7 separate regions of the Mus musculus genome follow, and regions 1, 2, 3, 4, 6 and 7 are each reported to be linked to region 5. Evidence: microRNA targets listed by miRTarBase, many of them from high-throughput screens and not tested one by one. Region 5 holds a microRNA gene; each other region holds the end of a gene's coding sequence.

The links. The annotated mature microRNA mmu-let-7b-5p reads UGAGGUAGUAGGUUGUGUGGUU and lies in region 5 at 3,216-3,237, shown strand. An mRNA with a match to its seed (bases 2 to 7 or 8) in the 3' UTR can be bound and repressed. Matches are read on the target gene's strand: a 7mer-m8 pairs with bases 2 to 8, a 7mer-A1 pairs with bases 2 to 7 and ends in A, and an 8mer does both.
Region 1: miRTarBase lists Hdgfl3 as a target of mmu-let-7b-5p. The part of its 3' UTR that is shown has no 7-base or 8-base seed match.
Region 2: the mRNA of Rpia is a reported target of mmu-let-7b-5p. The part of its 3' UTR that is shown has no 7-base or 8-base seed match.
Region 3: the mRNA of Crk is a reported target of mmu-let-7b-5p. Seed matches in the 3' UTR shown: 7mer-A1 at 2,081-2,087.
Region 4: miRTarBase lists Homer1 as a target of mmu-let-7b-5p. The part of its 3' UTR that is shown has no 7-base or 8-base seed match.
Region 6: miRTarBase lists Slc8a2 as a target of mmu-let-7b-5p. Seed matches in the 3' UTR shown: 7mer-A1 at 3,562-3,568 and 7mer-m8 at 3,290-3,296.
Region 7: the mRNA of Stx17 is a reported target of mmu-let-7b-5p. Seed matches in the 3' UTR shown: 8mer at 2,733-2,740 and 8mer at 305-312.

The regions. Positions count from the first base shown.
Region 1 is chr7:81,882,452-81,886,682 of GRCm38, forward strand. It overlaps Hdgfl3 (HDGF like 3), which reads right to left. Exons shown (of 6, transcript NM_013886.4): 6 at 1-3,632. The coding sequence ends at 3,627. Tm6sf1 (transmembrane 6 superfamily member 1) reads left to right here. Exons shown (of 10, transcript NM_145375.4): 10 at 764-1,628. The coding sequence ends at 955. Among named protein-coding and RNA genes, the nearest start is that of Tm6sf1, 26 kb to the left of the region's middle.
Region 2 is chr6:70,763,077-70,767,363 of GRCm38, reverse strand. Rpia (ribose 5-phosphate isomerase A) reads left to right here. Exons shown (of 9, transcript NM_009075.2): 9 at 716-1,644. The coding sequence ends at 810. Among named protein-coding and RNA genes, the nearest start is that of Rpia, 27 kb to the left of the region's middle.
Region 3 is chr11:75,702,967-75,707,253 of GRCm38, forward strand. Crk (v-crk avian sarcoma virus CT10 oncogene homolog) reads left to right here. Exons shown (of 3, transcript NM_133656.5): 3 at 400-4,287. The coding sequence ends at 537. Among named protein-coding and RNA genes, the nearest start is that of Crk, 26 kb to the left of the region's middle.
Region 4 is chr13:93,401,850-93,406,136 of GRCm38, reverse strand. It overlaps Homer1 (homer scaffolding protein 1), which reads right to left. Exons shown (of 10, transcript NM_147176.4): 10 at 1,008-4,096. The coding sequence ends at 3,908. Among named protein-coding and RNA genes, the nearest start is that of Gm6109, 44 kb to the left of the region's middle.
Region 5 is chr15:85,704,110-85,708,396 of GRCm38, forward strand. It overlaps Mirlet7b (microRNA let7b), which reads left to right and starts at 3,210; the gene lies at 3,210-3,294. It overlaps Lncppara (long noncoding RNA near Ppara), which reads left to right. Exons shown (of 2, transcript NR_110483.1): 1 at 1-181; 2 at 2,445-3,415. Mirlet7c-2 (microRNA let7c-2) reads left to right here and starts at 2,494; the gene lies at 2,494-2,588.
Region 6 is chr7:16,158,835-16,163,084 of GRCm38, reverse strand. Slc8a2 (solute carrier family 8 (sodium/calcium exchanger), member 2) reads right to left here. Exons shown (of 10, transcript NM_148946.3): 10 at 2,574-4,250. The coding sequence ends at 3,905. Among named protein-coding and RNA genes, the nearest start is that of Meis3, 14 kb to the left of the region's middle.
Region 7 is chr4:48,181,090-48,185,376 of GRCm38, reverse strand. Stx17 (syntaxin 17) reads right to left here. Exons shown (of 8, transcript NM_026343.2): 8 at 1-3,878. The coding sequence ends at 3,639. Among named protein-coding and RNA genes, the nearest start is that of Mir1958, 30 kb to the left of the region's middle.

The DNA of each region.
Region 1 (4,231 bases), not on the chromosome of region 5:
GGCACATTCTGAATAGTTTATAAACTATCCCATGTAAACAGAGGGAGCCCTTGCTGTTCTGTTCTGAAACTTCAAACATGCTGACCAGTCACAATTCTAAGTAGATTTCAGTCTGATTTGGAAAGGCTGCCTGTGTATATATTTGCCATTTTATAATCATATTGCTATCCACAGCCAAGCTATTAACAAGCTTACCTTACAAACAATCATAGTGCTATTAAGTTACATAAAACCAAACACACGGATGAATAAGCAGTACATGTGATGGTCTCTGAGCTCTGGCATCCAGTGGTTGGTCTGAGACCCTTAGTGCTTCTCTCTAAAGTAGCTCCTCATACTAATTACAGCTTAAATGTTAAAACCCAACTTCATTTGTAATTCAAACCCAATTTGTGAGACCTTGCTGAGTGTCTATATAGTTAGTGTTCCTAAGATTCAAATTAGAAAGAGGGGGAGATTTTGTTGTTGTTGTTGTTGAATTGAGCCAGTATTGTTTGTTATTTGGCACAGGATAGGTTAAAAATACACAACTGGAATAATAAAATCACACTTTAAGAAGGATACATTATTTGAATACTTATATCAAGAACAACCTTAAATTTAGTGAAAGATTATATATTAAGACTGGATTACCTAAAGGTATTTTGCCTTTAAGACAGGTTTTGAGGGCACATGGTCTGAATGAGACACTCAGAATTCATCATTAATCCAAGTGAACAGAGCTCATCCTTACTGTTTTTTTGTTTTGTTTTAATATAAACAGGCTCAGTTTTCTCACATTGGTGCGTCCCTTCATGCTAGAACTGCTTATGTCTACAGAGTCCCCGAAGAAGCGAAAATCTTTTTTCTAGCACTAAACATAGCATATGGAGTTCTTCCTCAGCTCTTGGCCTACCGTTGTACCTACAATCCCGAGTTCTTCCTAAGAACTAAGGCAGATGAGAAGTTGGAATAAACAAACATACCTCACAGTTCTCTCTGACCTGTTAATGGGACTGGCGCTCTCCTTTATCCCCTCCATACAGGAATACTCACAAGAACACACTTGTTCTGCAGCATACATGTGAGTGAAACTAAGGGTAGTATCTGGGTATATTCTCAGTTTTGAAAGAAAATTAAAGTTGAGAAACAGCTTTTTTAAGGAAATATATCACCATTTGTCTATGAATGTGACCATTGATTTTAGCATTGTTTGCACATAGTATGTGTGAAAATTACAACTCTAGTGCCTACAAAAAGCATAAAAATGAAACTATTCAGAAGTAACTAACCATACTATGCATAAGAAATAATTCAAAACAGCAATTGCAGGTTGGAGAAATGGCTTCATATGAAATGTATGAGTTGTTGACAATCTTAATATAAATGCCAGATCATCACAATATTTTTAAATTGATTCAAGTGTTTTCACAAGGAAAGCATATTATTTATTGCCATTTTAAAAATTGCTGTCAAAACTTCTATTGTGAATTTGAATAGCTAAGATGACACAAATCAACTTTATTAGTTGCCTTAATGAACACTTGTTTTATTGGTTGATAATATTTCTCTTGTGTTTCTGTGTATACCTTCAATACTGTGTATACCTTCAATAAAATTATTTTTGGTGTTTATGAAGATAAACTTTATTAATTTTGAAGCATTTTATATATACATTTTCATGACAAATTTTGAACTTTTTATTTAAGAAATCTGTGCCAGGTAGTGGTAGCACACGCCTTTAATCCTTGCACTTGGGATTCAGAGACAGGCTGATCTTTTGAGTTCCAGGCTAGCCTGGTCTACAGAGTGAGTTCCAGGATAATCAGGGCTACACAGAGAAACCCTGCCTCAAACAAACAAACAAACAAAAAAACCTTTGTTATATGTTCCAATTTAAAAATGCTATCTACATTCTCCATATGTTTTGCATGATAATGAAGAGATCTTTTGTCAAATTTCATTATTTTAAACTAAAATATTTAAAATTAAAAAGTACCTTTTAAAGAAAAAACCCTGACTTAACAGCCTGTCTCTTAATGAATTTTCCATACATGGAACTGCGTGAGCACAACAGGGGACCACTGATTGCTAACCGGCAGGAGCAAGCCCAAAGGACAGTGATGTCCTGGAGGGAGGGGTGAGTAGACCAGTGCATCCAGAGCCCCACATCACCTCCATCTTCACAACGACACTGGGCTCTTAGGTCTTCTTCTATTTTCTCTTCACGTTCATTAGTTCTTCAACACAGTAAGAACACCAAAAGCAAACTGGATGCACGGAAGGCTGTGTGTAAATGCAGGGTCCCCTGAGCTGGGCTGTCGCAGACGTGCAGACAGCCCCTGCTGCTGCAGCTCCTGCTGTTGCTCCCTCCTGTCCCCCCACGGCTTTCACTTAACCTAACATCCAGAATACTTAAAAAGAAACATGATAGAAAAAATAAAATTTTCACCTGCACTTAATTCTAATGTCAATTTGCTGTCAATCTTTGCTATAATACAAGAAACACATTAATACTTCACATTACACATATGAAGCCAAATAACACTAACTCGGCTGTTTATAACCTCAAACCTTACTCCCAGTACACATTCCAATAAATTTATTCTGTAAAAACAATACATTTTTTTGTTTTTGATTTTTTTTTTTTACAGTAAACTTCTCAGCTACAAACCTCAAACACACACAAAAGATCTTCCAAGGACAAGCATAGCAGGGTTGATGAGACCCAAACTGACTAATGAGTTCTCACAGTATAAGCTGGCATAAAAATAAATAAGACTCTATCACCACAAGAGCGACAGTAATGCACACGTAACAATGGTTGGCGGATGAACGTTAACTACTCTAATTCTAGTTCTAAAAGAAAAGTCTATTTTAAACTCTGTACTCAAGAGTCAATGCTTTGTTTCCCACAGTGCTCCTGCTGAGCTCAGCTTTCAGTGTAAAGTGACCATCTTGAGGGATTGGCTCAAATTGTATTGGCTTTGGGAAAAAAAATAAGTCCTTGCTTTATTTTGGTATGACACAAAAAGACTCAGTAAGTTCACATATAAACTTAGTTTGTGGACACAGGAACATGAGTTTTGAGAAGTATTAAGTTTCAACTAGCTATTTCTAATACAGAATAGGTATTGTACATATGGTTAAACTTTACACATGGCCTTAAAACTGAAAGATGACTCTAACTTCATCTCCAATACACCAACAGTATGTATCTAGGAGTTGGTTCTTGGGTTCTGCTACAAAGAAAATCCCATCCTGAAGTATTATGTTGAGCAGTCACCTAACAATATGAATTACTGTTTAGCTGAGTATCTGATGATGGTGGGAGAGAGGCAGGAAGCTGATGACTTGGAAAAGGAGCCTAGACACAGAGAAGTCTGCAAAATCTTCATCATTCTTAGTGATTAAGGGCAACTTCATGCAACCAAATAACATAAAATAAAGTCAACCTTAAAAGGGTTAAAATGTCTCTTTTTCCTTCAACAGAACAGAGAGGAATGTGACTAATGCACACACATACTGGGGCTCTGTCAATGACAACAAAGACCGTTGGTTCATATCAAATCCAAATCCAAGAATTAGACAATCAAACAGTTAACCTTCTTGTGGTGTCTCTCAATATGCAGCATTCATTACGGTAGTTAGGTCTGTAAAAAAAAAAGCAAATAAAACAAGCCTTAGATGAGCTAGGACACTACCGAGGGAAGCTCATCACCATCACCCTGTGGGCACTGGGTTCTTGTCCTTTGCAGTCTGAGTCAGCATCACAGCAGCAGTACTTAACGAAACAGCGTCAGAGGCTTTGCTTTCTATCAACTAAACACTGACACGCTACGTTAGTATCCTGTTCAAAACCAGACAAACCCTAGGGGTAACCTCTGTTGCCTCTCCAGTGGAGGAAGCTATGGCAGTGGCACATGCTGTACCACTCAAGGAGGTGAGTACTGCTGCTGCCCACCACACTCCTAAGAGAGGTGGTCTGTCTGACCGGGGTGAGCAGTATAAGCTGAAGGCCATCTGGGTGCACGCAGACTGTCCTTCACAATACTTGCAACTTTAGTTACTTGGGGCACACATGGTGCAGCAAAGTACAGACGTTAACAACTTCAGTATGTCTAGTCTCTGACTTTGCACTTTTGAAGAAAAAGAAAAAAAAAAACAACAGATGAAACAAAACCGTCCAGATTTTCTTTAAAACTTATATGGCATGCATATGACAAAGATAAAATATTCCTGCTTTGTAAAA
Region 2 (4,287 bases), not on the chromosome of region 5:
ACATGTGTGTACACCCATGTATGTATGTGCAGAAGCCAGATGTGTCCTCTCTTCTTTGAGTCAGAGTCTCTCATTGAACCAGGAGCTGGGCGATGGCCAGCAGGCTTCAGGGATATTCCTGTCTGTGCCTCCACATTCTGGTCGCCTGCCCTTACTCATCGTGGTGACTGAGTGTCAGTCGTTCATCCCTGTCACTAGTGAGCTTCAATGCTTTGCTTTTTTTAAGAAGTACTTGTTTAGGTCTTGTGCTCCTTTTTCTGTTGTCACTTACTTAGTGGCTTAGGAACTGTATTCTGATGTGACTCCTTTGTCAGGTGTATGCTTTGTGAACATCTCCCACTTGGAGGAAGCCTTTCAAGGATGGCAGTTGACTGACCATACCTGGGAGGAGTGATATAGCCTTGGAGGGTCTCTATAGCAGGCACATGGGGGGATGAAGAGGAGCCGACCTTGACACTGAGGAGGATGAGCCGCAGGCGAGGGGAGCAGCGTGAGCAGAGGGTCTGGGCTGGGATGAAGCTGGCACATTTGGGAACACAGAGCAAGCCATGATGTAGTAGACGGAAGAGCTGCCAGCAAGGAACAAAGAAAACCCCGGTTTCTTTCAGATTGTGTTTTGTCCGCTGCTGGCTTGTGATATTTGCTCCTGGGAACACTTGATGCTTGCTTTGTTCTGGGAAGCTGGACTTTAACGCACCTATTCTTCATTCTACAGGCGTGGTGGACACAGGCCTTTTCATCAACATGGCAGAGAGAGTCTACTTTGGGATGCAGGATGGCTCAGTGAACGTGCGGGAGAAGCCCTTCTAGCCCTGAGAGGAGCAGGGTCCTCACCTTGAGTCTCCAGCCCAGGCACAGTGGACACGCCTCACCAGGAGCCTTTGCCTTAATGTACCTTCATGTAGCTGTCCACAGTGCCAGAGTGGACGGCTGGCATGGGTGGGTGGGTGGGGGTAGTCAAATCCAGTCTTATGAAGTATTGCTATGTGTCTTTTTAAAAAGAAATTTAAATATATATATATTTTTACTATTAAAATATTCAGTTTTTTTATAAAATAGAACTTGATTTTATGTTTTATATGAAACCTTACCAAAAACAAAAAAAACGTATAAATAAAAATAAGAGATCAGGACTGTCTCTGAAAGCTTTGACTGGACCTGCTGGTTAACCTTCTGAAGTTTTGGGTTTGCTGAGAAAGAACGTTTTTCTAAGCTGGTGCAGGTCTCCTGATGCCTTATGGGAAACCTTGTTTACTGTTTACTTTCTTGTGACACTCTTGTGTTTTCATTGTTACCACTCCCAAATCTTAGTTACATTTTAAGATCAGGTGTAGGGAATTGTGAATGGAGCAGCGGGGCTGTAGTGACGTGGGTACAAACTCCAGGTGAGCGAGAATGCACCTTCTCTTGGATCCTGGCTTGGCTTTGCTCCTGCTGCTGTTGGAAGCCCCCGGTGGAAGCGGAAGCGCCTGCTGGCAGTGCACAGCACTGTCTGAGATGTGAAGCACTTACTTTTTGTTGTTTGAATGTTTTCTTTATGTGAATATCGTTTTGTTCCTCCGATGACCCTTGTATGATTTGGTATCAGAAGCTGTCACTTTGTGCTGTTCGAAGGTTGAAATAAACGTTACTGTGCCATTTGGATCCTTTGTCTTCTCTGCCGAGTTTGCACTCATGGGAATCAGTTTTGCTCAGTTTATGTTCGATGCGTGGGATCCTTCCAGGAACCCGAGACAGCCTAGGCAAACGCTCCTGCTGTTTCTGACAGACGATCTCCTTTAGTGAACAAGGTCTCGCGTGTCCTACCTTTGCTGCGGAGTTAGTTTTCTCTGTCTGGGTGAGGGCAGTATTGCTGAGCACAGGCCTGTTCACTCCCAGCTGCTCTGTTGGGTTGTATGGGAATTAAGCATTAGAAGAGACTGGAATTTTCTCGCTTCCCCGAGTCTCTAGTTTAGATAAACTGCCTAGTAAAGAGCTGAGTGCCTAGAAAAAACTTCCCAGAGGATGGCAGGCCGTGGCCAGTTCAGTGATGGTTGACAAGGCCTTACGAGTCCATCCTGTCACACATCCCGGTGCAGTGAGCCCTGGTTCCTCCCATGCTAACTGCACGATACTTAGCAGTCAGCTAGCTTTTCAGTTTACCTTCTGCTTTGAAGTTGGAACTCTGTTACATACATGTGTTGGTGTCCAGATTCTTGCTTAATCAAGTCTCGGAATAAAAGCTAGCCAGGTCTGAGGTTTAAACGGACATTATCCAGCCCAGTGTGCTGGTACATGCCTTTAATCACAGCCTAGGCAGGTGTATCTATTAGTTCTAGGCTAGCCTGGTCTCAGTGAATTCCAGGTTAGCCAGGGCTATACAGGGAAACCCTGTCTAAAAAACAAACAAGCAAGCAAAGGAAGAAAGGCATTCTCCCTCGGCTGTTGGTATTAGGAGTTATTATTTTTTAATCGGTTTGTCAGCAACTTTTGTGCAGAATGAGATAAGAAATTCGATAGTCAGTTTTCAAAACAAACAATTAGTGTGGTGTGGATAAACAATTTCAGAAACACCTGTTTGCTCCACTTCACATACACATTTCCTGTTGGTTTCACAGGCTTTGACACCTGTGCCGGAACTAGGGTATTTGAATGCCAATGTGAAGTTTTTCTTCTGATAGAGAAAAACAAAATACCTGGTAGGCACCAATGGGCAGCCTAGAGATACATTTTGATGAAAGAGTGAATTAAAATGAAAGATTTTTCCACTAGATTACTAAATGTGATCTTTTAAGTGACGAATGAGCTAAGCCAGTTTCAGTTAGTATCTTTGCTTTATCTTGGGCACATAGGACAAGTTGGAGTTTGGCTTAAAACTATTTAATATATTTAAGCTATATTTATATATCTTAGGTATGGTGGCACACTCCTTTAATCCCAACACTGAGAGGCAGAGGCAGGCAGATCTCTTGAGTTTAAGCCTAGTGAGTTTCAGGAGAGCTAGAGCTACACAGATACTGTCAAAAAACAAAACAAAATAAAAATTGTATTTGTGTTTCTGTGTATGAATATGTACACATGAATGTTGGTGCCTGCAGAAGTCAGAAAAGGGTATTGGAGACTGGCCTGGAGTTGCAGGTAGTTGTGAGCTGGGTGGTATGGGTGTTAGGATGTGGGAACCAAACTTGGGCCCGCTGCAAGAACAGTGCATACCCCTGAGCCATCTCTAAGGCCTTGAGTCTGGCTTTTGGGAAAGGTTTGTAGTCATGGCAGGATGCCGTGGGGGAAATCATGGGGACTTGGGTAGAACCGACTCAGGGATGGCTTCAGTCAGAGCCCACAGTGAGGAAGGAAAGTGGGTTTCTCTTGGAATGTGTCCTGTTGCCAGGCACTGCCATGTAACATTGCCACCATCCGCAGCTCCTTGTGTGCCCTGCTTTCCAGGGGCTCAGTGTAAGTACCTTGTTCCAGTCACATCCAGGAAAGCAGAGCAGAATTCTGGTTCCTGGCCTTGCTTGTACGTCTGTGTGACTGTAGGGTTTTGCCTAACTTATGTCCCTTGATAGTACCTATTAGTTGTAGTGAGTTACAAGGCCTCATGTTAGCGAATGGCTGTTTGCACATGTGTGTGCCTGTGTGCTCATGGATAGGATAATTCTGTTTATTTCTGCATTGTTGAGCTTTTTTTTTTTTTTTGGAAGAAGGGAATAGAATATTGCATGTAATCTGGTTAGAGAGTGTCCCTTGGTTAGTCTGTCAGTCACAGAAGTGATGCATAACCACTGTTTCTCCATGGCTTCTCTCTGTCTCTCCACTCTGAGTTTTCCATGAATTGGGGCCACCACAGACACAACCCAGGAAAGGAGGTTGAGAGTTCCCTTTAGCCAAAGTCAAGTCATGGACCCACCACATGAAGGCTTGCTGGGGTCGTTGTTGAGATGTTTTGGTGTTAAGTCTCAGAGGGTCTGTTCTTGTGCTTGGTCACAGTCTGTAAGGACTTGCCCAGGACCAAGAGCTGATAGGAAGCAGGAATGAATCTTTGGGCAGACATCTTAAAATTCTTACGAACATGGGAAGAAGACTGGAGGGAGGCTAGAAGCTGCTGCCACTGTAGGAAAGCAGCCATGACTAGCCAGGATCAGGGGCTGTTGCCTGGTGCTTTGTATGACTTGGGTGGAGTTCCTGTTTCACGAGTGTCCAAATATGAATGTGAGGGGTTTTTGCTTGTCTGGTCATGATCAAAAAGTGGCCTTGCCTCATGGCCACTGGGATTGTTTATGTTCACCGGAAGGGACCAGGGCTTAGTTG
Region 3 (4,287 bases), not on the chromosome of region 5:
CAGGCGTGCTGCCACATCTGCCAAGGAGGGCTAGGCTTTGAATCCCCTAAGTCAGATGATGTGGGGTGTGGTGGGGGCGGCTGAGGATCGTAGAACAGAGGAGACTATTAGCTCATCTAGACATGCTGAGGTTTGCAGAGAGTATCATCTTCTAGGGTCCTTCTTACTTTCTGTATTCTCAGTGTCTTTCTTCATTGCTAACACCACTCCTTCTTTTTGCCTGCATTAACCACAAGTTAACCAGTCTGGTGGCTGGGGCTGGGGAGGTAGTGAGTAGCCATTTCTATAACATCAGCCCTAGAGCAATCACGTGGGCAGGGTGTGCCTAACAGAGAATGGAGATTTTCACCTTGCATTCTTAACTGGAAATAAAGTACTCTCCTTATTCTCGTCCTGCAGGTCGGTGAGCTGGTAAAGGTTACGAAGATTAATGTGAGTGGTCAGTGGGAAGGGGAGTGTAATGGCAAACGAGGTCACTTCCCATTCACACATGTCCGTCTGCTGGATCAACAGAATCCCGATGAGGACTTCAGCTGAGTATAGCTCGACAGTTTGCTGACAGATGGAACAATCTGTTTCCCCCCAATTGCCATCTATACAATTTTCTTACAGGTGTCAAAGCAGTCTAGTTTATATAAGCATTCTGTTACCTGGGATCTTTTTTAAGACTGAACTACTCCATTCTCACTTGTATTTACCATATTCAGGGTACGAAACCGGAGGGCTTATGTGGTTAACTTCTGAGTTGGCAGTTTTAGGTGGTAGTTGCCGTGCCTGTATGAGAAGACGTAAATACATTGCCTCCTTTCTTTTGGGCAAAACAGATCAACCTGTGGAAAGCTGATGGGCAGGAAAAGAATGTTACTCACTGCTGACCCTGATTTCTTCAGAGGTTCTGTTTTCATCCTGAATCCATACTGTCAAGTGGCAGCAGACTGTTCCCCACTCCCATGACGTAATCATGCACTGTGTGAATATTACCCAGTGGGGTTGCATTTGCATTTATGGACCATGACCATTGTATGACTCATTCTGACATTTCAAATCCTGAGGATTCTGAGAACACTACTAGAGGCATTTGTCTTCCTTGGATTTTTCTTGGATTCTTTCCTTGTTACTCTCCTCCCCTGTACCTATAAGTGGCTTGATTCTTAGGATAATGTATATCTTCATTCCAGATGAGAAGCAGGATGTACAGAGCACTTTATTCAGTGCATAGCTTTAAGCCAGTATTGGATTCACTCAGTGGATAAACTCCCAGCTCTCTGCCTTCCCCCAAGGGGGCATCGTAGGTTCACACTGCTACCACAGCTCAAGACTCACCTTACTGATGGGACAGATCTGGCAGGGCCATTTTTCCTGATTGCTAGTATCCTAATGGGATGCTCAAAGTTCTCAGATTCTACTTGGAGTGGAAGGACCAATCACTTACTGTATCCTATAGAAGGTATCAAGGGCCAAACTTTGCCCTCTGCATCATGTGCAAGTTGTATAAAAGGCAGGTTAGAATTCTATGCATTTGGGTAGGATTGATACTTTGAAAACTATTCCAGTCGTAAATTACTTATGTATCATTTTACATGGTTTAATAGTTGGTGAAGTATATTACACTATAAATTGCCTTCATTTGGGTTCTCCTTTGTCCAGATTTAGTTTACAACCCTTTAAAGTAGAGAATGATTTATACGAGGTCAGATGCTCCAGAGACTAGGCCTCTGAGGCCACAAATTATAGGGTTTCTTTAGACTGTAACATGAGACTTTCAGGTGATAAAGGCACTTGCTGGTCTCTGGTGTAGGTGACCAATAGAAACACCTTATACTTTGCTTTGAACCTCATTTTAGAAAAATAATTTACCTTCTTAGTTGTCTTGTGTAGATTAATATGATGAATTTGCATTCATTGAACATATACCAAATCATGTGACTGAAGTGACTAGCACATTGCTGAGCACGTGTGTAGAGATTTTGTACGAAAGAATGAGCAGAGTGCAGAAGCGTGTTGTATGGCCCAGGGACGCCAGTTGGCATACATTACCACAGGCAGATTTAATGAGTTGATGCTAATTTAATACATTTTTTACCTCACTGTAGCTTGATAAAAACAGTAATACTCAACTTTAGAGATGTTGGCCCAGTTCTGAGCTCATAATAGGTGGTCAGTGATACTGAATGGACAGGTTTGTAGCACGTGACTTACTGCACCTGACTGCTTGTTTCACTTTTCAGTTAGCATAGATTGTGTAAATCCAAATGCACAGTCAATCCTGTTTCCCTAAGCCTTGTGTGATGGTGAATGTCTTTAGTCCTAGCCCTTGGGAGACAAAGGCAAGTGGATCTCTGAGTTCAAGACCAACCTGGTCTACAGAGCTACTTCCAGAACAGTCAGGAGTTAGAAAGTGAGACCTTGTTTCAAAAACAAAAACAAAAACAAAAAAGAATCTGTTCCTGAAATTATGGCATCGAAAACACTTCTTAGAAAATCATCGTCACAACTGATTTGAATGCTGGTATTTTCTTTTGCCTTTGATGCTGGCTTGTATTGTCTCTTCACTATATGTGGTGGGAATGGGATCTGCAGCTCTCCGTGAAGCCTACGAACTCCTCAGTGATTAGTTATTCAGAGCCATTACGTGAACTGTTTGGTTGGATTTGGCTGGGTGTAGCAGTTATTGGACCTCAAGAGATCAAAGGACTTCTTACAAATATCTTCCAAAAATAGCAAGTGCTATAATCCTAGTCAGATGCGTATGTACATTGTCACAGAGCAAAGTAAACTGAAATTGGCTGCTATGTTTTATATAATCACTTCTGCAAGAGCCCATTTTTGGATACTAATATTTGACATGGTTAATTCTTATTAATTTGTTGAAAATGTTTATTAATAATGCAAATAGATAATTTTAATTTTCCACAAGTAACATTTCACTATTAATGGTTTGAAATGGGTGATAAGCAAACCAATTTGAAATAAAATATGAACATGTGCCATTGTATTATAACACTATTCACTTTCTTGACAGTTAAATTTTAAAAATGTTTTTTTTTTTGTAGCATGTATTGTATATGTTTATAGTATATGTAGTAAATAAAAGTATGGCCAAATGTTTGGCTTGGTGATCTTTTGAGAAAGTAATCTTGAAATATTTTTCACAAAAGTGAGTTTTTGTGTTTTTAAGGAATAGAAGGTATGTGTCTCAGCTGTTCATTAGTAGTTACGTAAACTGTTACATGGTGGGTATGCTATAAGATCTCTAGAAAGTATGACACTACTGTTAGGAAACATGAAAATCATATATATGGAATATAAAGGAAGCACATTGTGAACAGAGAACACCAGACTTGCCTGGAAATGGGTCTCTGTGAGTGTAAGATGGCAGTGTGATAGGGAACTCTGCAAACTTGAGACTGCATTCTCTGTTGTGAGAATGCTGCTGTGGATACGCCATTCATTTCTCCTTTTTAATGTAAGTAGCAATTGCTCAGGGAAAGTCCTAGGGGAGGAACAGCAGCAGAGATGATGCGTTTCTGTGTGTCCATACCACCCGTCCCCAGAGTGCAGTGCACTCCACATTGACACTACTCACTCCAGTATTGGAGCTGTGGCTCAAGTTTCAAGGTATGGTGGCCTGTGCTGATAATTCCAGGACTTCTGAAGCCATGGGATTCCTTGAACCCAGGAGTTCAAGGTCAGCTTAGGCAACTTAGCAAGACTCCTGTATACTAAATACCTAACAGACAAATTTTACCTATTATTGCCTATATGATACTCTGCCTTAGACTCAGCCTCAGCCTCCTGGAGGCTGCCACAGATGTAGGCCTGTTTAGTGCAGAGCTAAGGGAAAATGCCGCCTCCAGGGGATCCCGCTTTAGCATATGCAAAATTAACAGCAAGGTGGAAAGTGTTTTCCAGCTTCTGACAATAAAATAAACTGTCCACCGCTTTACTATGTTGAATGTCGGGTTCCTTTACAAAGTCTCAGTGTTCATACAGCCCATGTCTCGCTCAGGGAACTTCATCTGGAGGGAGGGGTGCCTGCATAGGAGGGGTGGGAAGAGGCCCAGAGCGGATGGTGGGAGCTGCAGGAGCTACCACGCATGCTATAATGAAAGTGAGCTAGGGTCAATCGCTCATCCCGCCCTGGACAGTCTCCTTCAGTCTTCCTCATGGTCCAGCTCCCTGTCCACACATTCACATACCCTTAGAGATGTTCTCAAACCCATTTACCTTCATGGTGCTCCTTTCAAATAGTACTCCCCCAGCCCCACAAGTGTAGCTCAGATTGTC
Region 4 (4,287 bases), not on the chromosome of region 5:
GTTTAACACATCTTTAGGTGGCAAAACTGTCAGTGATCTAGTTTCTCCCTGCTTATTAGGCTTAAATTTATTTTTCTTTATTTTTGAGACAAAGTCTTACTGTATACAGCCCGGGATAGTTTTCAACTCTCAGTCCTCCTGCCTCAGCTTTCTCAATGCTGGGATTAAAAGTGGGAGTACTGATGGCCAGTTTAAAACATATTTTTGTTGTTGTTTTGAGGACAACAGAATGAGTGAGTCTAAATTTTTAAAAAAATAATTCTTAACAAATACTACTAGTAGTCATATAGCGTGTATCCTATTAAAGATTTAAAAGAATGTTTCAAACTCAACTATTTCTTACCTGAAATTTTTCTTCTTTGTGAGTTTATATAGGGCTGGGAAGTAGCTCAGTGACACAGTACTTGCCTAGCATGTGCTAGGTCCTGCCTGGCTTTGACCCCAAGCACCATGAAAGAAAAAGAAATGATGTTAATTTACTTCATGAATCCTAAAAGTTTATGTTAATGCACACAGGAGACAAAAGATCAACGAAGTCTATTTGGTCTTTAAGAACAAAATTTCAAATGTTAAAATTATTTGGTATTCATCATATGCAAGGCTCAGAAAAATAACTCACAAGTGTTCCCACGGCCTGCCTCCTACTCGAGTCCCAGCATCCAGAGATGCAGCCTAAACCACATTCCAAAGGCAAACAACAGCACAGAAGGTGGAGGCTTACCTGCTGAAGGATAATGCAATCTTAACAGAGGAAAGCAATGGCTTCTTAAAGGTCATGTGGTAGCTTACCATTTCAGAGTCACCTGAAAAGACAAGCGACAAGCTCCTCCCCTAACTGCTCCCAACGTCCAAAGACAACAGAGCATCGCAGTTCTGAGGGTGCTGCAAAGTTCCTTTAGGGACAAGGAGCAATGCAATGTCATGAATGTTCATTTTTAAGTCTAGAGAGGCAGAGCGAGAGAAGGGGATGAAGAAAGAAGAATAAAAACTAATTTTCCAGGCAGGGAAATACTTATAAAACCTTTTATGTCAAAGTTAGGATTTTAAAACATCACATACTAATGCAGAATCCAGTAGCACCTGTAGGGTTGAAGTAAACGCTGCCGTCCCTTAAACGCTTAAGTAGCCTTAGAAGACTGAGGAGACGATCAAGTACATTCTCCAGAGAACAAATGTATTTCAAAATAAAAACTGTATTTTTGTTTTTTTTCCAGTTTTTGCTTTTGTACAAGATTTCATAGTTATAATAACTTATACACAGATGGGACTGACCCCTGCTCTCCTCCTGGGTCACTGCAAGTCCACATGTTCAGGCTATAGTCCCCAACACTATGTTCTGATCAATATATTACCACAGTTTGATCTAAATATAGATACACTATATAATATTTATCTCTGGGAAAAATCAAATTTTAATATGCAAATGTCTATATAATACAGCGGTGGAAAAGCTACAGTAGGCACACAACCTATAGCTCAGAGGCGATGAGTTCTGGAGGCTCTCCTTGTGTGAGTGACGTACCTATAGCTCAGAGGCTATGATTTCTAGAGGCTCTCCTCATGTGAGTGAAGGTTTAAAATAGTCAAGAAGAAGGTTTTATTTATATGTGCACTTGTGTCCACCTTATCCCAAACACTGTACATGTCTACTGACAAGCTGGGAATTTATAGGTGCAGCCCTCAAGAGATTGTTAAGTTACTAAAAAAAGAAACAATTAGGCTCTATTGGACATGGAAAACACTCACAAAATTTTCCAATTTTAAATTTCACAGCAGTAGGAAAATATTAAAAATAATTTCTGTATATACATATAGGTATATGTATATATTGAATTACACATATGCCTCACATTATCAGTACAATTCAAGTGGAGACATTTTGGTGAGTTATTTTCCCATTAAATGATCACTATGCCAAAATTTAAAAATATTTTATTACATCATTAAAATAATTCGCTTACCATATCAACAGCTTACACTGTTTTTTTTTTTTTTTTTTTTTTTGGATTTTTTTTGAAACTCTTCATAACTAAATTCCCTGATCCCTAGTGTTAGTCCTCTATTTAAATGAAAACGTGGTATTCTTTGATATTCAGAAACTCATAGATAAAATCATATGTTTTCAAAATTCTATCCATCAAATAAATTTTATTACCTGATTTCTCAGAGAAGTATCTCATCTCTGAGCATGTGTACCCAAAAGATTCCTTCTATAATAGACAGGTGAGGGAAATACCCTAAGGTTGATGGAGGTGACAGGCAGGATGGAATAGCACAGAGAATACATGGTGGTCCAGTGTCTGATACACATGTGTCAGAGACACCTTACTGTAGAAACTACCTTTAGAAACAAACGATTTATTTTCATTCTAATATAAATTAGTATGTATGTATTGACATACATACACATAAATATAAAACATACTAAAGAATCTGTTTGAGTGAGAAAGATGGGTTAATCTGCTTAATTTGTATTTAACAATTCAATCATTTGGGGTACAAACAAAAAAAATTGGGTGCATTCATTGACTCCAGAGTTAGGTACCCAAGCATACACTAAGAAGAACCCTCTTCACTATCACAGGCATTGTACAGCAAGATACACGATTCTGATGCAGTTCCTACTCGCAGAGCAGGCAGCACTTGGCTTACTTTTAAATTGTTTTGTGAAAGAAATGTATCATATAAAGAAATGCATGTTTGCTAAATGTCTTAAAATTACATCAAAAAAACAGTAAAACCTGCTCTTGGAGAAGAGTCTGTTGAAGGTATCTCCTGTTTTGAAATGCCTAGTTAACAGTTCAAAATATAGCCTTGTGAAGTTTGAATAAAGACATGGTTTCTGTGAAGACCCATCTGCCACAGTCACAATTTAGATGCAGTCCTCTCGGCTTGACCGCTAGGTGGAAGTGGCCGTCCTTGAAAACAGTTATATACCTTAAAATTATCTATAATAAACAGTGCCCCCTAACCATTATTTTTCATAAATTGAAATGCATTGATCACTCAGAAAAGATTTCTTGCCAAATATATAAATAAATGTAACTGCATATTTTCTGTAAATATACTTAACATTGCTAGACTAAACCGTCAAGGACGGACTGCTGTATTTCAGTTCTGTGTGTCAAATTTACTATAAATTTAAAAAGAAAAATATCTGAGGGACTCAGCTGCCTTTGTTTAGTTGGCTTTAAAATGTATAATAAACTGGGAGACAGTATCCTCTCATAAATACATGGAATCAATATGGAAAAGTAAACTATATAACAGACAAGATTGGAGATAGCAGAGTGTACCAGAGTAGTCACTAGAGTGAAAACACTCTCAGTACAAAAAGGGAAGAACTCCAGACACCCGTTGATAGTGAGTTTCACTTAGAGGCATAGCTCCCCAACTCCTGGCAAGGATTAATTGGTAATGGCCCTTTCTCAGCAGCGAAAAATTATCCTGAGAAATTATTCAGATAACAACAAAGACAGGGCTTCCATTACTAAGTTTTTGCACAAAACACAGCTGTAGATATCATAAATAAATTTAAAAAGCATATAATCTTCACTGTGTTGAACAAAAGAGGAGAAGGGACCCAGACATTGTTAATTCTCCCATTGGCTAATATCAGGGGGAAAAGATTGCATTAAAGTGTCTACTTATAACTTTCCAGTTAACTATGGCCAATATACATGGAGGTAATTTGTAGTTCAAGTTTTTCATGTCTTTTTTTTTCCCCAACTAGCTATAAGCTAAATTCTAAAATTTATACTGAAATATACAATTCCAATTTTCAAAACACCCTCCTCCTGGAGGAATGATATTCAAAAAATTTTGTGCAATCTTGGTACGGAGCCCAAACAGTCCTAGGAAGACAGACAGCATCTCTCCATCTATTGGCACTGAAATTTCACTCTCTTTAGCTGCATTCCAGTAGCTTGGCCAAATTATCTCGTAATTCTGTTAGTTCAAATATTTTTCCATCCAGAATTTCTAGGAGTGTCTTCAGGTTACTGCGGAAAGCCTCTTGTTCGTTCTGGCTCTTCTCCAGGCGCTGTTCTAGGTCAGACAGCTGCCCCTCCAGGTCTTTATTTCGAATTTCAACTTCCTTCAGAAAGAAAAGTATAACACACATACATGTCAGTTCATCCTTCAGACGACAATGCATTCCTACCATTCCTAGTGTCCTCCTGTAAGTCTGACAATCAGGCTGTGCCTCTGACATTCAACTTCATACAATTTAAGGAGATTTGTATTCAGCCATCTCAGAAAGCCACGGCTTGGTTATGATACACCTGA
Region 5 (4,287 bases):
AAGGCAGACTGGATGAAAATGCCATTGTGCTATAGGATCTTAAGGAGTGGCCAGGGGAGGCCACCAGGGGCCAGGCTTTCTCCCTTCTGAAGTTGATGATCATTGCTTTTGTTTCTAACCCCCAAGGTGGTCAGGAAGTGGAACCAAGCAGGAAGTTCTGCATGCCTATGGCTTCCCTGTGGTAAGTAGGGCCCCAATGTCCTTCCTCTGGAAAGTAGGGAGACTTGAGAGTAAGGAAGGCTAGGGTCAGAGGCACATCCCTGCCAGTGCTCCAGGACCTGCCCTCAGCTTAGATGTCTTTACCTAGAGGCTTTGTGCTCCCCCCAACCCCTGCCCTCAGTATTGTGCCCCACCCCACCCCCCAGCAATCTACCCCAGATGACACATCTACCCATGATATGATATGGTGACTTTTGACCCCGTATCGGCCTACTTAGACTGGGCATGGCTTAACAGAGGTGCAGTTCCATTCATCACCAGCTCCAAGTGGAAGAGACGTAGCCTCCCAACCTGAGGACAAGGTCACCGAGCCCTGAGAGACCTCTGGGGACCTCAGCATGAGGTCCCTCTCTTTTCTCTGTACCCCGGGCACCATCACTTAATCCCCCCAGTGTGATCCTGCTTCCCCCAGGCCAGGCCACTTGGTATCAATGGAGGATCTGCCAGAAGGTCTTGCCTAGAGAAAGGCCAGATGAGGGAGACAGAGGCACATCTGTTCCCGTGTTGGGCTAAGGCACAGTGCGTGGTGGCCCACTGTCCTTGCTAGAACTAGGGTGCTTGTGTCCTGGTGTTTCTCTACCATAGCTTGGGCTCTGCAAGGCTTCTGTTGCAATGAAGCCCAGATTCAGGGAGGCTCACCAAGTGCAGAAAAGGCGCTTTGGGGCTGACACAGTGGCATACACCGGCCTCCTGCTGCTAAGTAGAGTGGCTGAGAATCCCCAGGGGCCAGCCAAAAGGACCCCACGGAAATGCATGATGGTGCCCAGAGTCAGAGGGGCCAGTCTCGACCTTCCAGCCAGACCTGCCCACGTACTTGTATCCTGACAGCCAAGGGCAGAACCCGAAGTGTTGAGAGACCTGGGGTTGATGTCTGACCTCTTTCCTCCTTCAAAGTGCTTCTGGGGGCGGAGAGGGGGAGGGAGGTGCTGGGCTCAGATGGAGATGACCAATGTGGTCTCTAGCTATTCCACCACATCCGGGCACAGCCTAAGAACCGACGAGATTAACCATGGCCAGTCAAGCCTACAGAGAGGCTAAGCAGTGTGGGACACCCCTCAGCCTTCTCACCTGGGCCACCCATCATAGATAGGATCACCAAAGGGGCCCTTCACCACTCTCTTCCCACGCCTCTTCTGCCTTGCTGCCTCTGCAGGGACCATCCTTGAGGGTATTTGACCTGCCTGTTAGTGAAAGGGTCCAGGCTTGAGGCAGGGGATGGCACCCCAGTGGCTCAGATTTCCTTCTGGGGCTTGGAAGATTAGTGTTTCCTATCATCACAGGCCTGCCCACCACGGGCCAGGCCACACCAGCGCTCTGGGAACCTTGTTCCTAAGCTCCTCTGCCCCATAGACTCCGGATCTGGGGCCACAATGTGGACTTAGACCTAACGGCTTCATTTTGACCCAGGAGTTTTGGACTTGTCCCTTGACCCTTGGCAGAGAGGAAAGGAGGCGTGACAGTAGACGCTAGGGCTCATGCAGAGAGCAAAAGCTGCCTGGCTTCCTAGGTCTGGGCACAGGGCTTCCCTCCACATGCTGGGCAAACCGGTCTGAGGCCTGAAAGAAGCAGGTCTTTTTCCCTTCTGAGAGCAGAGCTACCTGAGACCAGAGACTGAGCCTCAGTTTCTTCAGCGATCTCTGCTGGCCTCTGGAAGTGCTAGTCGTTAGGGACAGACTGGCCATGAGTGTCCAGCCAGGGTCTGCACTTGCGCCCGGCTGGCCACCATGGGGAGTTAGGCTGCCTCCCACAAGGAAAGACTGTTTTGAGCCTCCCCCAGCAAGGTCAGCTCAGGCCACCCTGAGAAGAGGGAGGGACAGAACCAGAGCCCACGAGGGGGGGGCTCTTCCTGCCTAAGGGGAAGAGGGTACATGCCCAAGGCTACTACTTAGCAGGAGTCCTGGTGATTCTACTACGCTAGAGTTGAGTGGACAGAGGCTGGGTCTCAGCCAGGTGGACACTGGAAGCACCCTGGACCTTGGTGGCCTTTAACAAATGACACCCTTCCCCCATTGTGGCCATTCCTGTGCTCAGTGCCCCGTGCTTTCTCTCTCTTCTCCCCGTTTCCCCGTCTCCCCGTCTCCCCTTACTCTCTCTGTGATTTTGTTTAAATGTCCCTGGCCCATTTTGAGAAAATCCCAGTCTATTAATACCCTCAGCACTGAGCGGCCTGTGTCGGGGGTGGGGGGTGGGGCTCACCATGTCCCCAGCTCTCCTTCTTCCTCTAGGAGGGACCTCAAGAAGCCACAACATCCAGCTCTACGCCAAGACTGACTGACGGCCTTTGGGGTGAGGTAGTAGGTTGTATGGTTTTGGGCTCTGCCCCGCTCTGCGGTAACTATACAATCTACTGTCTTTCCTGAAGTGGCCGCAATATCTGCAGTGGATACAACGGCGGCCCTGGCTGGGGAGACTGAGGGAGGGACAGGGGGGTGATAACTACCATGCAAAAAGAGCCTGACAGAGACCTTGGATAGTCCCTTGACCTCTCTGGGCTGTTACTCATCTGTATAAGGGTTGGGGCATAGCGATGAAAACAGACAGCATTTTCAGGGCACCTTCTCTCCCTGGCCCACACTGAAGGGGCCTTCCTGCCCCTGGCCCCATATCAGACCTGTGCTCACAGGTCTCCATGAAAAGAGGGTCTGGACTAGACCTTCAACTATGTTCCAGAGTTGCCCAGGCTTTCCAGCGCAGGGTCAGGCCTCTGACGAGCAAGCGTCTCTTCCGAGAAGAAATTGAAAAGGAGCCATTCTTAGCACACCCATGAGTACAGCCTGCAGATGGACCGTGTAGGCCACTGTCCCCTGTCCCTGGGGCAATGGGTTCAGACACCAGAGGCTTCCTCAATCTGTTTGGTAGGCACAGGCCTTTCTCACTGAACCTCTGTCTCCACTTCCCCCTCCCCCACCCCGCCCTGTGCCCTATGGCTCTAGTGGCCTGTGGCCAGGGTGGGTGGGGAGCGGCTGGGCCTCCTCCAGAACACGGACACCGCAGGGTGAGGTAGTAGGTTGTGTGGTTTCAGGGCAGTGATGTTGCCCCTCCGAAGATAACTATACAACCTACTGCCTTCCCTGAGGCGCCCAGGGACACAGCTACATGGAGGCCCCCGCTCAGCAAGCTAAATGGAGCCACAGATTGGGTGGGGGCTATGACGTGGGACCTGGGTATAAATAAAGGATGTTCTGTCATGAACTTACAACTGGTCTTTGGTCATTTTGGAAATACGGAGACTGGCCGTAGAGGACATGAGATCGCCAACCACACATTGACACGTTTGCATGCATGAAACATTGCCAGCAAGAGCTGCTCTGGGTAGTGAACAGTACCCTCCCCTCATCTTCCATGTGCCCCTTAGTGGCCCAAGCCCTGGACACCCAAGCCCCTCCACATGAGTGGAACAACAGACCCTATGACTCCAAGTCTCAGAGCACAGTACTGGCTTCCAGTGTCCCTCAGCCTGTGGTCCTAACCAGATCTGAGAAATTCCTGGCCTATTGTCCCTTCGTGCCTGCCTCCCTTGGGACAGTATTGGGACGGCTGTGGATGTAGCTTTCTAATCTTGGGCCAAATGGTCATATACCCTTCTTCCAGGGACCCCAAGCCTTCATTCAGGTGGTGGTAGTGGGGTGAGGGTCAGCCCTCAGCTAGTGTTAGCTTAGGAAGGTAAAGTCCTAGTCTTACCTGACCAGACACCAAAGGCCTCCCTCGTGGGTGGATACCTTGACCCTGATGTCCTGGCCTTCTCCCCATAATGAATCCCCCGAGTCCCAGCTCCCGTCCTGAACCCAATCTGCCTCAACTCTGCATATCCACACACCTCCATTGACGCACCTAGGCAGACCAAACACCCCTAGAGCCCCTCTATATCCACCCTCAGCTACCAGACCTCTCAAACTTAGCCAGCCATTTCCAAAGATCTGATACTGTGCTAGCCCCAGGGTTGAGAGTACCCAGAGGGACTCTCTGAGTACTCTCTGAGAGCAACAGGGATGGCTTCCCAAAGTAGGGGCTATCTGAGCTGGGTCTTGATGGCTGTATAGGAGTTGGCAGCTAGAGACACAGGAGTGG
Region 6 (4,250 bases), not on the chromosome of region 5:
AGCTTTGAGGTCTTAAATGCTCAAGCTACACCTAGTGTGAAACACATCTAGTCCCTCCTGCTGCCTGGGGATCAGGATGTAGAACTCTCAGCTCTTTCTCCAGCACCATGGCTGCCTGCACGCTGCCATGCTTTCTGCCATGATAACAGACTGAACCTCTGAAACTTCAAGCCAGCCCCAAATTAAATATTTTTTTCTTTAATTGCCTTAGCCAGGCAGTGGTAGCATGCGCCTTTAATCCCAGCACTTGGGAGGCAGAGGCAGGCAGATTTCTGAGTTCGAGGCCAGCCTGGTCTACAGAGTGAGTTCCAGGACAACCAGAGCTACACAGAGAAACCCTGTCTCGAAAAACATTAAAAAAAAAGAAAAAAAAAAGCATTGCCTTGGTCATGGTGTCTCTTCACAGCAATGAAGCCCTAAGACAAGCTCACACTACAATGACTGATTTTATGTGATGTGGGGGATTGACCCCAGGGCTTCATGCATATGAACCCAGCCCTCTACCACAGGAGATGCAGTCACAGCCCACTGTGATTTTGAGGTAAGGTCTCACTCACTCTGTAGCTCAGGCTGGCCTGAAACTCAGTCCTGCTTCTGCCTTCTGAGTTCTGGGATTGCAGGTCTGTGCTAATGGTTTCATCTTAGAGTGTCCCTGAGCCCTTCACCCAATCCGTCACGCCAGATTTTTCCTCATGAGCATGCCATCTTGGAAACTTGCCTGCCACCTGGGTTTCCCTCTGCTCTTCTGGTGTCTCCCTTGCCTTCATCTCTCTCACCCATGCACACTTTAAATGTTGGAGATACCCCGAGGCACTGTTTCTGTTCTTCCCCCGGGCAGCCTATGCCAGTCCTGGCTTGCTGACAAGTCCCAGATCCCCCTCTCCTGCAGTTTCCTTTTCTGAGGGCCACAGCACCCTAGACTTCTCTCCCCTGTTTCTTCTGCATTTGACAGCCCCCCCCCCCCCCGCCACCATGTGCTCTCCTGCTCTCTTCATTCTAGACTGACAGGCGCTGGCTTGAGCCCGTGGCTACAGGAGCTGGTGGGACCTGGAGGGTAAGATTAGTGTGCTCGCTCATCCTTTAGTGCTGCTCTCAGGCACTCCATGTGTCTGTGTTGCTCATGCTACCCCCAGCACAGCAGCTCGATGGGCCACTGCAGCCTCTGCTCATCTTGTGTCCAGGGAGGGCAGCTGCTTCCTTTGTACCCAGCCCTGTGGTGGCATGGGCACCTTCCCTGTCCCTACCCGAGTCACTTTAAGGTCTTTTCCCTAAATTCCCCCTCAGTCACCACCTCTTTCCAGCCGATAGGTCTTCCTGTGCCTTCTCACTGGCTTGATCTGTGACCTGATTTCCAACACCCAGTCCAGCCTCCACTCCTCTTCTCCTGCCTGAGTTCCTGATTTCCAACCTCTGATATCACAGGAAGTCGCTGATATCACAGGAGTCTATGAGGAATGCTTAAAATTATAAATCAGGAGCTGGAGAGACAGACGGCTTGGAGATTAAGAACATTGACCCGGCAGGGTACAGTTCCCAGTATCCATTGCGTGGCCCACGATTGCCTTGTTCTGGGTATCCAAAGCCCCCTTCTGGCCTTCGCAGACACTACACGCACATGATGAACATACGTACACAATCAAAGTACACATACACACAAAACAAAAAAATTATATAAATCAGCTGACATCATCTGCTGGCCTGCTCCTTCTAAATTTCTTCTGAAGCAGCCCTTTGCTCTTAAATCTTAAGCCTCCTTGTGTGGCTATTACCGGCTTTTACACTTGGTCCTCTGAAGGTCTCTCTGCTCCCCACTCCATGCAGGAAGCGCGTCTTTCGTTTCTGCTCATCCTTTGTCCCACTCTGAAAAAGCCACTGCCTCACACGTCTGTACACATTAACTTTGTACTCATTCCCTAGAATAATCCACCCTTATGAAAACACACACACACACACACACACACACACACACACACACACACACACACACACACACACACACACACCTCCTGTTCCATGCATGATTCTGAGAAAGTGACCTATTTTATTTAGGAAACTTCATCAACCTCAGCTCCCTCTGGCTCAGGCAAATTAGAGTCCTTCTCTTTTGCAATCCCACAATATCCTATGAAGAGGAACCATTTGTGGCTGGTGAGTGGGGTGTGGCCAGCAGAAGCTCAGGACTGTGAGGGGCGTGGCAACCAGGGCTAGGTTCTTGGTTGATGGGTGGGGCATGGTACTAGAAACCTATGGCTGCTTGGCAGGGGCGTGGCTAGTGGAGGCTCATGATTGATGGGTGGAACATCAGTACTAGAAACCAATGGCTAATGGGCAGGGGTGAAACTAGTAGATGCTCTTGGCTAATGGGTAAGGCGTGGTACCAGAAGCCTATGGCTTTTAGTTATGGTTGTGGCTGGTGGAGGCTCTGGTAACATTGAATGTGGTTAGCGTATGCTGGTGTCCTGCTGTCTGGCCAACTCTAATGCAAAGGCTGCCGGGTCTGTTTCCTGTGGTCTAGATGTCGGAGCTGCTACCATCCCTTTCCTCCTGCACCCCAACTTCCCACGGGAGGACTGTTCAGGCAGAATTTCAAAGTTTTATGGCAGTTTTTTACAGAAACCACAGAGAAGGGACATCAAGTGATGCTGATGAGCAAGGGGTGAGAAGGGCCGTGGGTAATGGGTCTGATGCACAAATGGACAAGAAAATGCAAAAATAATAACTTAGGGAAAGCAGAAGGCTGTGAGGGTGGCAGGGTCACCTAAGGTCGCAAGGAGTGGGCAGCACTCCCCGTTCCCCAAGGATGTCTTTTTTGGGGCAGGAGACATCAACAGTAAGAAAATGCAGGTGGCCTACCAACAGATGTATGGCCTGCAAAGTTAAAAATGCCCACCCAGCCCCCCTCCCACCCTCCCCTCCACCCCCGCCCCCCAACAGGCAGAGATGTGGCAGCATTTGCTGGCTTGTAGCATTGGTCCTCTGGGACCCTCGGTCTCCTCTTCGAGGGTCCTGCCCAGATTGGCTGGCACTGAGAGCAAAATAAACCTTCTAGACTAGAGTACTTTCGTTAACCCTTCTAGAATACTGTCAGGGGAGGTCAGGTGGGCTCCCTTTGAGTCTCAGTCTCATCCACTAAGCTGGTTCTCAGGCTGAGTGAGTCCTGCTGCCCTCTCAGAAGGGAAAGTCTGTCAACGCCCCTTTCCCCAAGACATGCACCCTCCCGTGTCCCCCCTCCCCAAACACACTATATACACACACAGGCTCCTCCCTCCAAGGCGTGGCTAGGCTCTCAGAGGTAGTGGAGGGTGAGTAGGGCGCTGGAATGTCAGAAGTAGTGGGTTCAAGATGTGCCTCCTCTGGCTAAGCCTGGGGGACAGATACTCCAAACGTCCCTCCTCCATCTCCAAGCCTCTGAGTGGATAAATCAGGGAAGGTGCGTGCCTTTCTCCCTGCTCCCCGCACAAACCCCTATTCCTTTCCCTGGGGACTGCAAGGGAGCTCCCTGAGGGTTGGGGTGGTTAAGGGCAGAGATGGATGGCGTCCTGGGATGGCACAGCCTCCCTCTGAGGTACCTAGGGAGATGTTCTAAGACCTGGGCGCACAGGTGGAAGTTCGTGGCTTGAGGGAGGGACACGAGAAGACAGAATCAGGCTCGGTGCCCAGAAAGACCGAGAAGTAGTGTCTGGCCAGGGGACTCGGGTTTACCTCACAAAGGATGGGCTGAAGGGGATGCAGCTGAGAAGGGAGGGCAAAGGATGGGATTCCAGGGGGAAAGGGAGGCTGATCCCAGGAAGAAGGCTGAGGAGGAAGAGCCTAGGGAGCGCCCAGGCTGAGTCTGGGTAGAGAGACTGGTGGGTCCAAGAGCAAATGCCACCAAGTCCCCACCCTCAGGGCGGTGGCTAGGGCCCTAGAAGCCCCGGATGTGGCAGTAAGCCTCCAGGCTGGAGAAGAGAATGTAGAGGAACCAGAGGCCCAGGAAGAGAGCGGTGGTGGCCAGCTTGGGTCCCCGCGGGCCGCCCAGCTCGCCGCCAATCTGCGGCCGGCGCCGGTACAACAGCACTGCGATGCACACGAAGGCGAAGACGGTGAACAGCGTGACCGAGAAGGCCAGCGTGCCTGCACGCACCTCGAAGGGGCGACCCTGCACCGCCCAGTATACCGCTGCCACCGACCAGGCCACACCCAGGCCCAGGAACACGTTCACCGCATTGGAGCCGGTCACGTTACCGATGGACGCGTCGGCACACTGGTCC
Region 7 (4,287 bases), not on the chromosome of region 5:
AAGGGCTTCTGAGGCATTCTTGAGAAATGCCTTTGTTTTCTAACAACTCAAAAGGTTTGGCTTCTGGACTTTTACTGGAAGGAAATACTGTGTGCTAGAGATTTGTAGTTGTGTTTCCAAACTTCTTGTTATCAGTAGGTGTTACCAGCTTCCAGTCCTCACTCTGCAGAAGACATGAACACGGAAGGTGGACAGGCAGGACAGCTGTGGCTAGGTAGGAGTTTCGGGTAAACCCCAGTCCGTGCTCCAGAGGTCTGGCGAGTTCTAGGCAGCTTCAGTATGCTTCATTCTAGGCTCCTGTGTGTGAGGTAGGAGTAAGCCAACAGAAGACACAGAATTGAGATGGGGAGAGAATTGGGTCACAAGGTATGGGAAACCAGTCTGAGGCCGACACACTGGATGTGGCTTTTCTTATTTAACATGCAATTTTGTTTTTGATGGCAATCCAAAAGCAGATGTTCAGAAATAGGCTATTGCCTGCCCCCCACCGTTTGTGCCTGGCTTCCCGGGGGCATCATTTAAAGCATAATGATTAATTGATTCTAAATGCTATGAGAGATTTGTTTAAAAGTAGTGTTTACTTTTAATTATATAAAACATTTTGAACAGTGATCATAGCCTATGATATGAACCAATGTGTAGAGGATAGGGTGGGATAGCAGTGTTCATTTTATACTTAAGCTCTGTGTTCTATGCATGGCCACAATTAAGAACAGGCTGTGGACACCCGATGAGGCCAGAAGACAAAGAAGTAAACGGACAGCATGGGTTGTCCCCTGCTGGCCTTACAAGTCTCTGAGCTTCAGGGAGGCAGCACAGCATGGCAGAGTGTGGCTCAGCAGAACCCATTCCATCCAGGCTTCCTGCCCTTGGAATGAATGGAAAGACTGCAAATTACTTAATTCCTCTGAGGCCCGGTTACCCTTTCCATAAATAACTGGCAAACTGCTTGGGAAACACCAGTTCTTCCTTAGGGAAGGGTGTTTTCTGAAAACTGAGGGTGGTAATCCATTTGTAGACTGAGACTGGTTTTGTGGGTTGAAGTTAGCATGTTGAAGAAACAGAACATCAGAATGTACTGCACACAATGGTAAACATTTTTCATGGATACACGTTCAATCCTAATACGTTTTTTACTGTGGGCTACATCAAAATTTCAGAGGAATTATCAGATTATAACATCAAAAAGTCTTTAGGGGGACTGCCTATACTAATATGAAGTCTCTACAAATTTTAAGACATTAAAATGATTCTTTTTAACTAGTTGAAATAAAAATAAGACATAAATCATAGAGATGATAAATTTAACTAGACACTATGGGGCATATTAAATTCAATTTTAAGATCATTTCTGTGTCATATTGACTAATTTATACGTTTAAGTACTTTTATATCATTTATAGTTGATTAAACACTTCTAAGAAATTTCCACAAAAAGTTGGCTATTGGATTCTATTGTGGAGAAATGAAAAACAATTTCTCAATAACTTTAAAGTATAATGAAATTTTAAAGAGGACTGTAACTTCCTTAACCATTACGGTGGCTAGAGTCAAAAGCCCAATACTGATGGTTCATTAACATGCCGATGGTTCCCACATTCCCACACTGGCTCAGCGAAGATGCGCGGTCCCAAGGGTGCGAGCTTCATATCCAAGCCTCAGCCCTGTTTCTTTGGCTTCCATGTGCTGAGGCTGTTATGGCACTTACTGATGGCACTTTGGGGATTCATGGAATTGAGTATTAAGTAATGAGGAAGATGAAGTAGACCATGGGAGACTAAAGAATTAAACAACACTTCTTATCCTCACAATACTAGCTAATCAGGATGGACTGGCTGTATCGGAATTTCCCCGGGGCCAAAGTTCAAGAATCTTGTTTTAGCTGGGTATGGCAACACACCTTTAATCCCAGCACTCCGGAGGCAGAGACAGATGGATCTCTGAGTTCAAGGCCAGCCTGGTCTACAGAGAGAGTTCCAGGACAGCTAGGTCAGGACTATACAGAGAAAACATCTTGAAAAATAAAACAAAACAAAAAGGAATCTTATTTGAAGTAAAATCTGGATGCATTCTGAATGCCCCCTGCTCAGGTTTGACATGCTATCTTAAAGGAGCAGCAAGAACCAGAGAACAAAGGATGACAATAAAAGTAATTACTTAATGCCCAGTGTGTTTGGCAATATTTCAGGATCCGAAAATTATTCAAATTTTGTTTGTTATTAAAGTCTTAAGACAGCGGATAAGAAATAAATACTCAATACTTTCCGATCTTTTAATACGGTGTAGTTCTTTGTTTCATAGGGATGCACTGGTAAGACTCACAAAGCATTGAAGGGAAGGAAGGAAGTTATAACACAGAGGGAAAGGTAGCAACCCACAGAGGCCAAACATCAACTCAGCACTTAAAAGAAGCTAAGAGGTAACCCTTCGGCCCCTGACCCTGTGCTCTGGCTGCTGGTGCACTCTTCTCAGGAAGAGATGAGAGTTGCGGGACCAGTGGCTTCTTCCTATTCCTTTCTTCTGAATCTCAAACCTTTCTGTTTTGAGAGAGACACGGAGTTGAAGTGGACATGCCTGCTGTGCATGCCAACTGTTGGGTTAGCACCACAGATCTTTCCTTGGGTCTGAATCATGAGTTTTCCCATCTAGAATGTGAGAGAGGTTAAGCGTGACCACTGCGAGGACAGCGGCAGGAGGGGAGACGGCCTGGGAAAGGGCAGCAGTGACAGATGTGAGGTAGAAAGCTCCTTCTTGGACGCCCAAGAAGACTGAGGGGCGGCAATCCCTGGAGGCAGCAGGTATGCCAGCCCCTTCTAAAGTGCCCTGTGATATGATCTTGTACTCACTCCCCTTAACCTAAATAACGTTGGAAATATTTAAATTTTCTTTTTTCAACTAAAGAGATTGTAGAGATTACAGGTAGGGGTAGCTAGAAGTGGAAAACTATATAAAAAGGCAGATTATGAGGAAAATCCTTATAACATGGGTAGGAATCAGAAGAGTAGAATAGACAGTTATCTGAATCACCAGCTGGAAATGGGCTTGGTGGCTGGTTTAGTAGGTCTAGCATTGAGGTTTTGTGCTCCTTATCTGGAGAGGCAGGAAAGACTTCAGAAAAAACACCCATGTCACAATGAAGAAACTGTAAAGAGAAAATGGGCTTCTCTTTCTATTTTATAGTGTTAATTTCCTTCCCCAGAAAATACAGATGGGTCTAAGTACAACAGCCCTCAAGTCCACAAGTAGTTCACCCGTGCCCCCTGTTGAGCGGCAACATCCCTACCTGACAGAGACTCCTGAACTCGAATTCTGTTCCTCCCTATAGGAAGAAATAATTGACAAATACACTGACCTCAGGTGTCCACTACATGTCTACACTTCTTAGATCCTTAGTTATGGATCCAGTTTTCACATTTCCAGGCCTAACCTTTGCTCTTTGGCAGTCTTTAAACTTGACCTGACAGACACCCTCTGGCCAGGCTCCTCCACCTCTAAAATCTCCATTAACACCCAGCTAACAAACACATCCACTCATGGTGGTTCAACACTGCATGGACAGGGAGAGCCACTTCCTAACACTTCCAGCAACAGCAACTGCTCCTTAGCTCGGTGCACAGCAGCAGCTGGAAGCTTGGGCTTTAACTGCGTTTTTTGTCACTTTGGCTAGGGAGATCTGGACAGCTGGAAGTGAGCTTCTCCATCATTTTCTGTTTCCTTCTTTGTATCAATTTTCCACCTGTGAAGCCTAACACCCCACCACCAAGTGCAGCTGCAATTCCTGCCACTTTGAAGCCTGCGAGGAGGCCGATGGGACCCCCTACCACTCCTCCGATGAGTGCACCTGCCACAGGCAGAGCTGCCAGCTTGTATTTTGCAGCCTGTAAAAAAAAAAAAAGATTCAATTTAGAAATTGAGTTGAGAAAAATCTGCCTGTGGTGATGTGCGTTTTCCTCTCATTACTCCTGGCAATGCCTCTTTAACTCTACGTTCATAATTAACCTCAGAGATTATTCTTGGAGGGGTGTGTGTGTGAATGTATTCCACAGGTACTGCCATTGCTCCAGACCACAGACCTGAAGGAGGCAGGAGGTGTGCTCCAGATTGGACTATACAAAATGATTTTACATGCAAACTACTCAATCCTCTATCTGGCTGGCTTGTTTAAACAGCTCCTCCAGCAGCCACTGGCTCCCAGCAAAGCTGTGGCTCAGCACAGAGGCTGCTCCACAGTGGGCACCTGGGCTGAGAGTCCCATCAGATGGATAATAGACGCTCCCACTCCTCCAG